2 linked regions of the Macaca fascicularis genome follow. The protein of the gene in region 2 interacts with the protein of the main gene of each other region in a biochemical or structural test. Links are inferred from orthologs where the notes say so. Each region holds a gene or a part of one and is shown on either strand. Other genes may lie near its edges.

Region 1 (4,529 bases), on a different chromosome or scaffold from region 2:
CGGCAGGGCAGTTGCAGGACTGAAGTGGGCCATGAGTACAGGTTCTGACTCTCTGCTTTGATCCTTGCTCACCAAAGTCTCAGCTTTCAGTTAGAAAGCTTTCAGTTAGTAGTCCCCACTACTCAGGGATCACTAGCCACAGAGCCACCCTGCTATTGCAAAATGAATCCCAAGCTACCCTGGGCCACAGACAGACCCAGACAGTCTGGGTCAGTCATCCTGCTAGAAACCTCGTGGGATCCCAAATGTGAGGAATATAAATGAATTTCAGGATCTTATTTTTGCAAACCCCTCCGCATCTTAGAAAGTACCAGTCATTGACGGCTGGGCGCACTGACTCATGCCTGTAATCCCAGCACTTTGGGAGGCCGAGGTGGGTGGATCACTCAAGGTCAGGAGTTTGAGACCAGCCTGGCCAATATGGTGAAACCCTGCCTGTACTAAAAATACAAAAATTAGCTGGGCATGGTGGTGTGCGCCTGTAATACCAGCTACTTGGGAGGCTGAGGCATGAGAATCGCTTGAAACCAGGAGACAGAGGTTGCAGTGAGCCAAGATCATGCTACTGCATTCCAGCCTGGGTGACAGAACAAAACTCTGTCTCAAACAAAAAAGAGAAAGTACCAGTCACTGTGCTGTTTCTCTTTATATTTTTCTGCATCTAGGCAAGGCTTTCACAAAGTGCTGTACAATCCCTTTTCTTCATTATCACATGTTGGCCCATCTCTGAAGATACGGCTGTTAACAAGCTTGCAGCAGGAAGGGAAAAAAAAATTGCCCTTAGTCCTTTGCAAACACTATCATACCTTTAACATGCAATTCTATCCTTTATGGCTACTTGTGTGACATAAAAATAGTTGCCTGAATCTATGTAGGGATTTCTCCTCACACTCAAATGAGGCCTGAACAAACAGCATGGCAGAGCCAGGCCCACTTCCTTTTTTGTTTTTCAAATAACAGAGACAAGGTCTGGCTATGTTGCCTAAACTGCTCTCGAACTCCTGGCCTCAAAGGATCCTCAAGGCCTCCCAAAGTGGTGGGAATATAGGCATGAGCCACCGTGCCCAGCCCAGGCCTACCTTTCTCATGACACATGACAACAAGTTCATCACAACAAATAGTTAAATATAAAGGCACAATGAGAATGGGTCATTAAGCTAGCAAGAGCTGCTTTCCACTCAGAAGCACTCTTCAACAACTCCTCTCAACCAGAGAACTGTTTGCCAGCCAGAGAGGACTGTGACACCAGTTCTACCTCCTCCTGGCTACTCCAACAGAGGAGGCTGTTCCCTACAACCCTTCCTAGACAGCAGGTGGCTGGTCCCCAGGCCCTCCACGCTGTTGGCCTCTTGGCATCCTCCCGTTGACACAGGCAGCTGGCCTCAGCCCTGCACAGCCTACTGAAATCCATGTCCAGGGGAAGTAACAGGTTTTCACCAAGAGGGAGACTCAGTTCTAAAAGGAGAGGTAACCAGCAAAGATGTCCACTTGCCCCTTCAGGTCTACCCTTTGGCTACACCCCAAGCAGCTGCCGAACATCTTTCAGGACTCACTGAAGATCATCTAACACAATGCCTGCATGAATGTAGTCCTGGACAGTTTCAACCAGTATCTGTTTTTGGTCCAGCAAGACCATGAGGACAGGTTCTTTTCCAGAGTCCCCAGAACATCTGTTTTGCCCAAATGCTGCAGGAAGAAACAGGTTGCAAACAGGAACGGGAAATTAGAAAAGACCATTCCTACCCTAAAGCTACTTGAGGGTTACTCTCAGCTCCCCGGAGAAACTGCAGGCCATGGTCAAGAAGCTCCTCTTTATGTCCCACTTCACAATTCCTCCCTGCTGGAGTCCCAGGGTCTCCATCATTTATTTCCAAATGGAGGTGGGAAGCTGTGGTCCCTTTCAATCCTAAACCAAACCATGGTTCTCTCTACCTAATGTCCTAAAGCAAAGCCGCTGCAGAGCTAGGAGGAAGCTCTGCACGGAGAAAGAGAACAGTGCAGAGTAAGCAAGAAGTTTATCAGGAAGAGCTGCTCCGTCAAACTTCAAAAGCAAAAGCTTTACCCTGATACGACGTCTGAGTTCATCGGGAAGGTATCAAAAGGAGACCTCCTCCTCATCTCTCCACAAGCACCAGGCCCTCATCTTTGGCCCTCCTACCTCCAACAGGAGAGCCCCGGGCCCCCCGAACCGCCCCCCGCCCGCCATCCTATGCAGTCTCTTGCCCTCTGAGCTTCTCCGGCCTCGCTCCTCCAAAACCCTCTCAAATGCTCCCCAGGCTCCGCCTCGCCTCTCCCATCCCACTTCTGCCGCCCCCGCTTGGCTTCCCCTCGCCCACTAATGACCCCCTACAGGCGCCCCCTCTTTTCACCACGTTTACAGTTCCCTCGCTCATGCCGTTCCCCTCTCTGCTCCTACACACACCCCTAGTCCTCACTCTATTCTCCTAAACCCGGTTAACCCTTCACTACCCACAGGCTCCGTTAACCCCTTTGTCCCCATTCCCAACTTGAGCCTTAACTCCTTCCCTCGCAGCAGGAAGCCCTCCTTCCAAGTGCTTTAACCGTTCTCTACCCCTCCTCCCAGCCTCCCACAAATTACTTCGCCCTCGGCGCTTTAACCCTTCCCAGCCCGCGCCTGTCCGTCTCCCCGCGGCCCAGAGCATACCAGTACTTGACGATAGCGGTAACCTGGAGCGGGTTCGGCTGGTCAGGGTAAAGGCGGCGGCACTCTCCGTAGATGGCGTGCAGTCCCGGGGGAAAGAGCGAAGCGAAGGCTGGAGGGGCAGTCGGGCCAGGGGCCGGGGGTGCGGTGGGGCCGGGGGCGCCGCTAGGCCGCAGCTCCGCCATCGGGGCGCGTAGGGCAGGCCCTGGGAGAACTGGAGAGGGCAAACGAGGGGGAGAGCACTGACGGGCCAGCGGGCGGACTCGGTGGGTGAGACTCCCCGAGGCGATGGGGGCTGCAGCGAGGTCCAGCTCCGCGCCTGCGCACGGCGCACTGTCCGCCCAGGCTGTCGCCGCCGCGGAGTCTGCCAGAGGGTGCCTCGGGGCGGCGGGGCGCTCAGGAAGGCGGGGCGCCGGCGCGCCCTATCCAAGCACCCATTGGCTAGTGTCTGTGCTAGTCACAGGCAGAGACGGCGTGACTTGACAATAGGCCCCTCCCCCCCCCGTGTTGGGAGTGTCCCAAGGCTCTTGGTCTCCCCCTAGTGTTAGGAGGAACCCAAGTTTAGAGATGCTGAGCACCCTCTGAGGTGCTAGGGTCCCACGAAAGCACCAAGAAGTGCGCCAACAAAGGATTTGTTACTGTTTTGCTGACGCGCTGCTAACTAGGATTTAAACATAAATCTGACAATGGATTGATTCATTAATCCATGGGGCGTTAATATTAATAGATTATAATAAATCTAATATTTTCTAGGGCTATTGACAAAAAGGTTCCTGCAATTTGAAGGGGGCTGGGGAAGAACATAATCCAAAGAAAAAAATGCACTGGGCTCATTTGAAAGCAGTGACACATAACCTCTCTTCACCTCCACTTTCTCAACCGTCAATGCCAATTCTAGCTCCTCATGAAAATTAAAGAGATACTACAGCAGTTCCTGAAACCCTTAGATGATGTTTTAATGACCAAAAGATTACCTATAACAGTAGTTCCAATTGCCAATCCTCGGATCAATGTTAGCCTGTTATAAAGTTTACACCTATGCAGAAAAAAAGAAAACCCAAAAAGCAACAACAATGTACAGGTTTTTTCCTTAAAGCTAATTTTATGCAATTTAAATTGTTTTCCTATGTTGTAGGAATATGTCCTGTCGCGTACGTGTGTTAACATTTCCTTTTCGTTAGAGTGTGAGGTGCTAGGAGATGTTTATTAGTCTTATAGACCCAAATAAAAGCATGAGAACCTTATATTGTCTAAGGGAACGTTGTGGGGAGTGGCAGGACTGATCTGCAAAATCCAAACATCCATGAATTACGACCAATCCAAACCGAACTACAGACAAGTACTCAAGAAGACTATACACCTCAGTATGCACTGCGAACTCCTTCAAAGGGACTACAGATCCAGGCATGCAACATGACCATCAACCTGTGTCTCTGGCTGTTTAATCTAGGGAGACCACAAATCCCAGGGTACTGTGCATCGGAAATACGACTCCCAGTCTTAAATTAGGCGGGCAACAAAGCAACCTAGAGCGCTAACCCAGGCGCAAAGCATGCTGGGGATTGTAGTTTTTCAGAGGTGAGGTAGGGCAGCTCCCTCGCCTCCCTGAGCCGGCGGCTAGACTGCGCATGCGTGTCAGTGGCGCTAGCGGCGGACCCGGCTAGGCAGTTCCTTCCCCAGAAGGAGAGATTCCTCTGCCATGGAGTCCTACGATGTGATCGCCAACCAGCCTGTCGTGATCGACAACGTGAGTTGCGTCTTTCCCATTTGTAAGGGGACTTGGGCTCTCCTCCTAGAAAGGATCGCTTCCCGGGGTTCAGCCTGAGCCGCCGGCTCTTTGTCACTGGCCCGGCCTGTCAGGCGCGTT
Region 2 (4,452 bases):
GAATAGCGTGTATGTCTGTGAAACCTTTTGACAAATATTTGCTTCTAGAATTCCACATCACTGTCATTAGGCTCTGAAAGAAGGATCCCTGAATGTGACAGACTTAAGATTAGTCATTTCTGACAAAGAGGCCACAATAAACAAATGTTGGATAGCATGTTTGAGTGCAGACTGGGTGGCGCTGGCCACTATAGTGGTAATAGCAATGTAGGTTCCAACAGAGGTCTCTAAGTCACTGGGCCTTGAATATTGCAATACTGCTCCCTCAGTCAGCTCTCTCAAGTTATCCTTAGCAGATTTTTTTTTTAAACAGCTGCCACTTCACTTCCACCCTTCAGCAGGTAACCAAGCTCTATCTGAAGGAAAATAGAAACCATCAGAAAGGAACTCTCACCTTCCGGCTAGAAACATCCACCTATCTATATTCATCCTTTATCTACCTTTCGTCATTCTCTGTAATCACAATGAAGAAAGTGTCCTTCCTAAAGCACTCTCCATTCCACCTTCTCCTATTTCTCTCATTGGAGTCGCTCATTCCCATCGGTATTTGCTTCCTCCAATTCTTCGCTTGTGAAAGCTAACTTCTCCAGACCAGGTGCCGCTCTAGTAGCTGCCCTAGCTCTCTAGCCTCGATATAGTCAAACCTTCTAACGGACTGCCTGCACAGCTATTTCCTCTTTCTCATCCGACTCACCAAGGTTTGTCATACAGCCGGCACTGCACCGTCATGTTTAAAATATATAACAGATGGCTAGACAGCATTCCGAGGGTGCAGACAATAAAGTGATCTACAGCTTGTAGCCTGGGTGTTGGATGGCTCATTGGGTGGGGAAGCTGTTATCTTTCCACCGTGCACAGGTAATTTGATATATGCTTTCACTCTGAAATAAAGTTGTGGAAAGGCAGTAGTACGCAACAATTAATAAAACACAAGTGAGTAAACAGTGATGCCGCACAACCAATCAACCCCTCACATGACTTGGGTGCGTATCACCCACCGGCCGCATCTGCCACTCCGCCCAAGGCGCGGTCAGCACCCACGCCGGCCCTTCCGGCGGAACCCGCCTCGCGGCTTCGAAGTGGCCTGGGTTTCCGAGTCAGGGGTGGTGATAGGGGTGGAAGATGAGGGGAAGAGCCGAGCGGCTACCGGCCAATGGCAGCTCTTGAACTTACACCTCGAGACGTCAGCGCGGCTGTGTAAACGGATGTCACACAGCTGGCTCGGAAGTGTCTCCTCCCGCCTTAGAAAAGCGGCGCACGCCCAGCAGCTTCGGAAAAACCTTAGGCGGCTGGAGGGAGGGGCGCGCGCCGCACCCCGCGAGCCCAGAGCTCCATACCCTAGCCGGCCGGCTTCTTCCCGTAGTGCCGTGTGGCTGCCGTTCCGGGTGAGCAGCGGGCGCTAGCGTCCCCGCCACGAGCGCGCCACCGCAACTGGCTCCGCCCCCTGCCGGAACGGGCCGCGCGTTCCTGCGGCTCCGAGCAGAGTCGCGGGCGCGCGCGCCGGCGGCAGATCCGCAGTTAAAATGGTCCGAGCGGGACCCGGCCTTGCCCCCGCTGCCGCGCTGACTGACTGAGCCGGCTGGCCGGGCCCGGACTGGTCACCTAGCCGGCAGGCTCGCTCGCTCGCTCACTCCCTCGCGTCCCCAAAGCTCGCGCCCATCGTTCTCCCGGCTTCCCTGGGCAGAGCATGTAGCCCCCGTCGGGCACTCCGGCGGCCCGCAGCTGACGCCCACCCCCCACCGTCGCGTGTGTGCCCGTGTGTGCGTGTGTGTGCGCAGGGAGGGCGACCCCGCCGTGGGCCGGGGGCCGAGCCAGCGAGCGGCCTGCCCCGCTGCCAGGAGCCCGCCTCTCTGGGTCTCCCTCCCTCCCGTCCCGGTCCCCCTCCTCGGGGTCTTCTATATGGGCCACCTTCTCTCGAAGGAGCCGCGTAACCGCCCGAGCCAGAAGAGGCCTCGCTGTTGCAGTTGGTGCCGCCGCCGGCGCCCTCTCCTCAGGCTGCCCCGCCGGACCCCAGCCAAGGTGCCCCCTCAACCGGCGGCACCCCGGAGCCGGGACTGCTTCTTCCGCGGGCCCTGCATGCTCTGCTTCATCGTGCACAGTCCCGGCGCGCCCGCCCCCGCCGGCCCAGAGGAGGAGCCGCCGCTCTCGCCGCCGCCGCCGCCGCGGGACGGGGCCTACGCTGCCGCCTCCTCCTCCCAGCACCTGGCGCGGCGCTACGCGGCCCTGGCCGCCGAGGACTGCGCCGCTGCCGCCCGCCGCTTCCTGCTATCCTCGGCCGCCGCCGCCGCAGCCGCTGCCGCCTCGGCTTCGTCGCCCGCCTCCTGCTGCAAAGAGTTGGGGCTGGCTGCGGCCGCCGCCTGGGAGCAGCAGGGCCGAAGTCTCTTCCTGGCCAGCTTGGGGCCGGTGCGCTTCCTGGGGCCGCCCGCCGCCGTGCAGCTCTTCCGGGGACCGACACCGCCGCCGGCCGAGCCCCCTACGCCCCCCGAAATGGTGTGCAAGCGGAAGGGGGCCGGGGTCCCAGCCTGCACCCCCTGCAAGCAGCCCCGCTGCGGCGGCGGGGGCTGCGGCAGCGGCGGCGGTGGTGGTGGGGGAGGGCCTGCGGGGGGAGGCGCTTCGCCGCCCCGACCCCCCGACGCCGGCTGCTGCCAGGGCCCGGAGCAGCACCCGCAGCCGCTCTGCCCCCCGCCCTCTTCTCCCACCTCCGAAGGTGCCCCTACCGAAGCTGGCGGGGACGCTGTCCGAGCCGGGGGCACCGCCCCCTCGTCCGCCCAGCAGCAGCATGAATGTGGCGACGCGGACTGTCGGGAGCCCCCCGAAAACCCCTGCGACTGTCACAGGGAGCCGTCCCCCGAAACCCCAGACATCAACCAGCTGCCGCCGTCCATCCTGCTCAAGGTGGGTCTGGGCGAGAGGCGCAGGGATGCTCGCTTTCCCCCACCCTCGGCCCCCGCCTCTGAGGCTTTCTCTCTCCTCCCCCTAAACGCGGAGGAGGGGGGTTCCCTGACAGTCTAGGGACGTCCGAAGGGGAGACTGGGAAGCCAGTGGGGCCTCTGCGTATGACCTATTTTTTGAAGTAGGAGCACTTGGAGTCTACTGAATGTCTTTTAATAGCTTGACTCTGTAACCCACCATTCAGGGTTCAGCTATTATTAGAATCCCAACCCAGTCGTTTAGAAACTTCGCAGGTATTCTGTGGAAAAGAAAAAAAAAATTAATCGGGAAGTTTATACTTAGTGGGTAAAGGCTTTGCGTATTAGTATTTGAAGGTCTTCAAACATTACTTTTATGTTTGATGATTGGTAGTTAATGTCAAACAGTTATTATTGAGCATTTACCATAATCAGGCGCTGCACCAGAACTTTATATATATAATATCCCATTTATTCCTTCAGTTAAAGCTGCGAGATAAATACTGTTAATATCTTTATTTTATACCAGAAGAAACTGACTTCTCCGTGCTGTGGGCCACTGTTTACAGTAGTGAGTCAGGCAGAAGTGGCCTTTGCTCCTGTGGAGCTGACAGTCTAGTGGGGCTTGAAGTGGTCGAATGACTTGTGCAAGGTCACATACAGAAAGTAAAGGGCAGATCTAGGTCTTGAATGAGGGAATTTAAGACCACCTGACTTTAAAACCCCTTTGTTTATGCTATGTTGTAATGCCCTTCTACAGTTTAGCCTTTGCATAAAAGCATGCAGATTACCAGAGGTAAGCGCAGATGTATTTTTTGTTGGGAAATGGGTGAGTAGAGGTAGGTGTCCTATATGAACTTTGTGTCATTTTCAACTATCAAGGATATTTTGCAGTTTTGTCAATGCTAGTGACAAACTTTAGTTACATAATAGAGTTTTTCTTAAGTTATTAACTTTTTTCCTCTTTTTCTGTCTTCTCCCACCCTACCCTATGTGGAGCTTAATAAATATAAACCATTTTCATTGTGGATGATACTAGAGACTATCCATAAATAATCTTGATAAGAATTTGGCTACTTTTACCGTTACTGAAGTAACTGTCAGTAATTACAATTGTTATTGTCACCAATATAGTTTCTGTGACTAGACTTTTTGCATATTTACAGTACTGTGTGTTTGGGTCTTTTTTACTGTGATATTAATGTTCTTGTGAATGATACAGCAAGAAGGTGGGAAAACTTACATTTCCTTGTGTCAAAATGTAATGATCTAATTCTTATGGAGGTCTACTTGTTGGAAGAGTAATTCCCTACTCTTTGTGTGCAGAGGTGCATTTTAGGACAAAGGGAACTTTCTTGAGTCCTTTAAATCACTGGATGATATGGATAAATAAAATATCAACAAATATTTGGTATAGAAATTTGATTGCTCTCTTCTTATTTGGCAAATAAGACTGTTTCAAAATGAACCAAAACAAAGCCAGGTACCTTCTACTTTTTTACTTAAACCATTATTTCATGAGGTAAAAAACATTTTAATGCCA

What was found.
Region 1: of the proteins of FBXL17 (region 2) and SUFU, one has a biochemical effect on the other in vitro, tested with the Homo sapiens proteins (2 studies listed by BioGRID, with this or other methods). The link is inferred for Macaca fascicularis from reciprocal best matches to the Homo sapiens genes FBXL17 and SUFU.

Annotation. Positions count from the first base shown.
Region 1 is NC_088383.1:111,512,218-111,516,746, reverse strand, and holds the start of SUFU (suppressor of fused homolog), read right to left. Parts: upstream 3,039-4,529; 5' UTR 2,848-3,038; coding exon 2,666-2,847; intron 1-2,665. Other genes in the region: ACTR1A (alpha-centractin), read left to right, coding at 4,362-4,409. UniProt on the Homo sapiens protein: Negative regulator in the hedgehog/smoothened signaling pathway. Down-regulates GLI1-mediated transactivation of target genes. Down-regulates GLI2-mediated transactivation of target genes. Part of a corepressor complex that acts on DNA-bound GLI1.
Region 2 is NC_088380.1:114,883,373-114,887,824, reverse strand, and holds the start of FBXL17 (F-box/LRR-repeat protein 17), read left to right. Parts: upstream 1-1,481; 5' UTR 1,482-1,899; coding exon 1,900-2,895; intron 2,896-4,452. UniProt on the Homo sapiens protein: Substrate-recognition component of the SCF(FBXL17) E3 ubiquitin ligase complex, a key component of a quality control pathway required to ensure functional dimerization of BTB domain-containing proteins (dimerization quality control, DQC).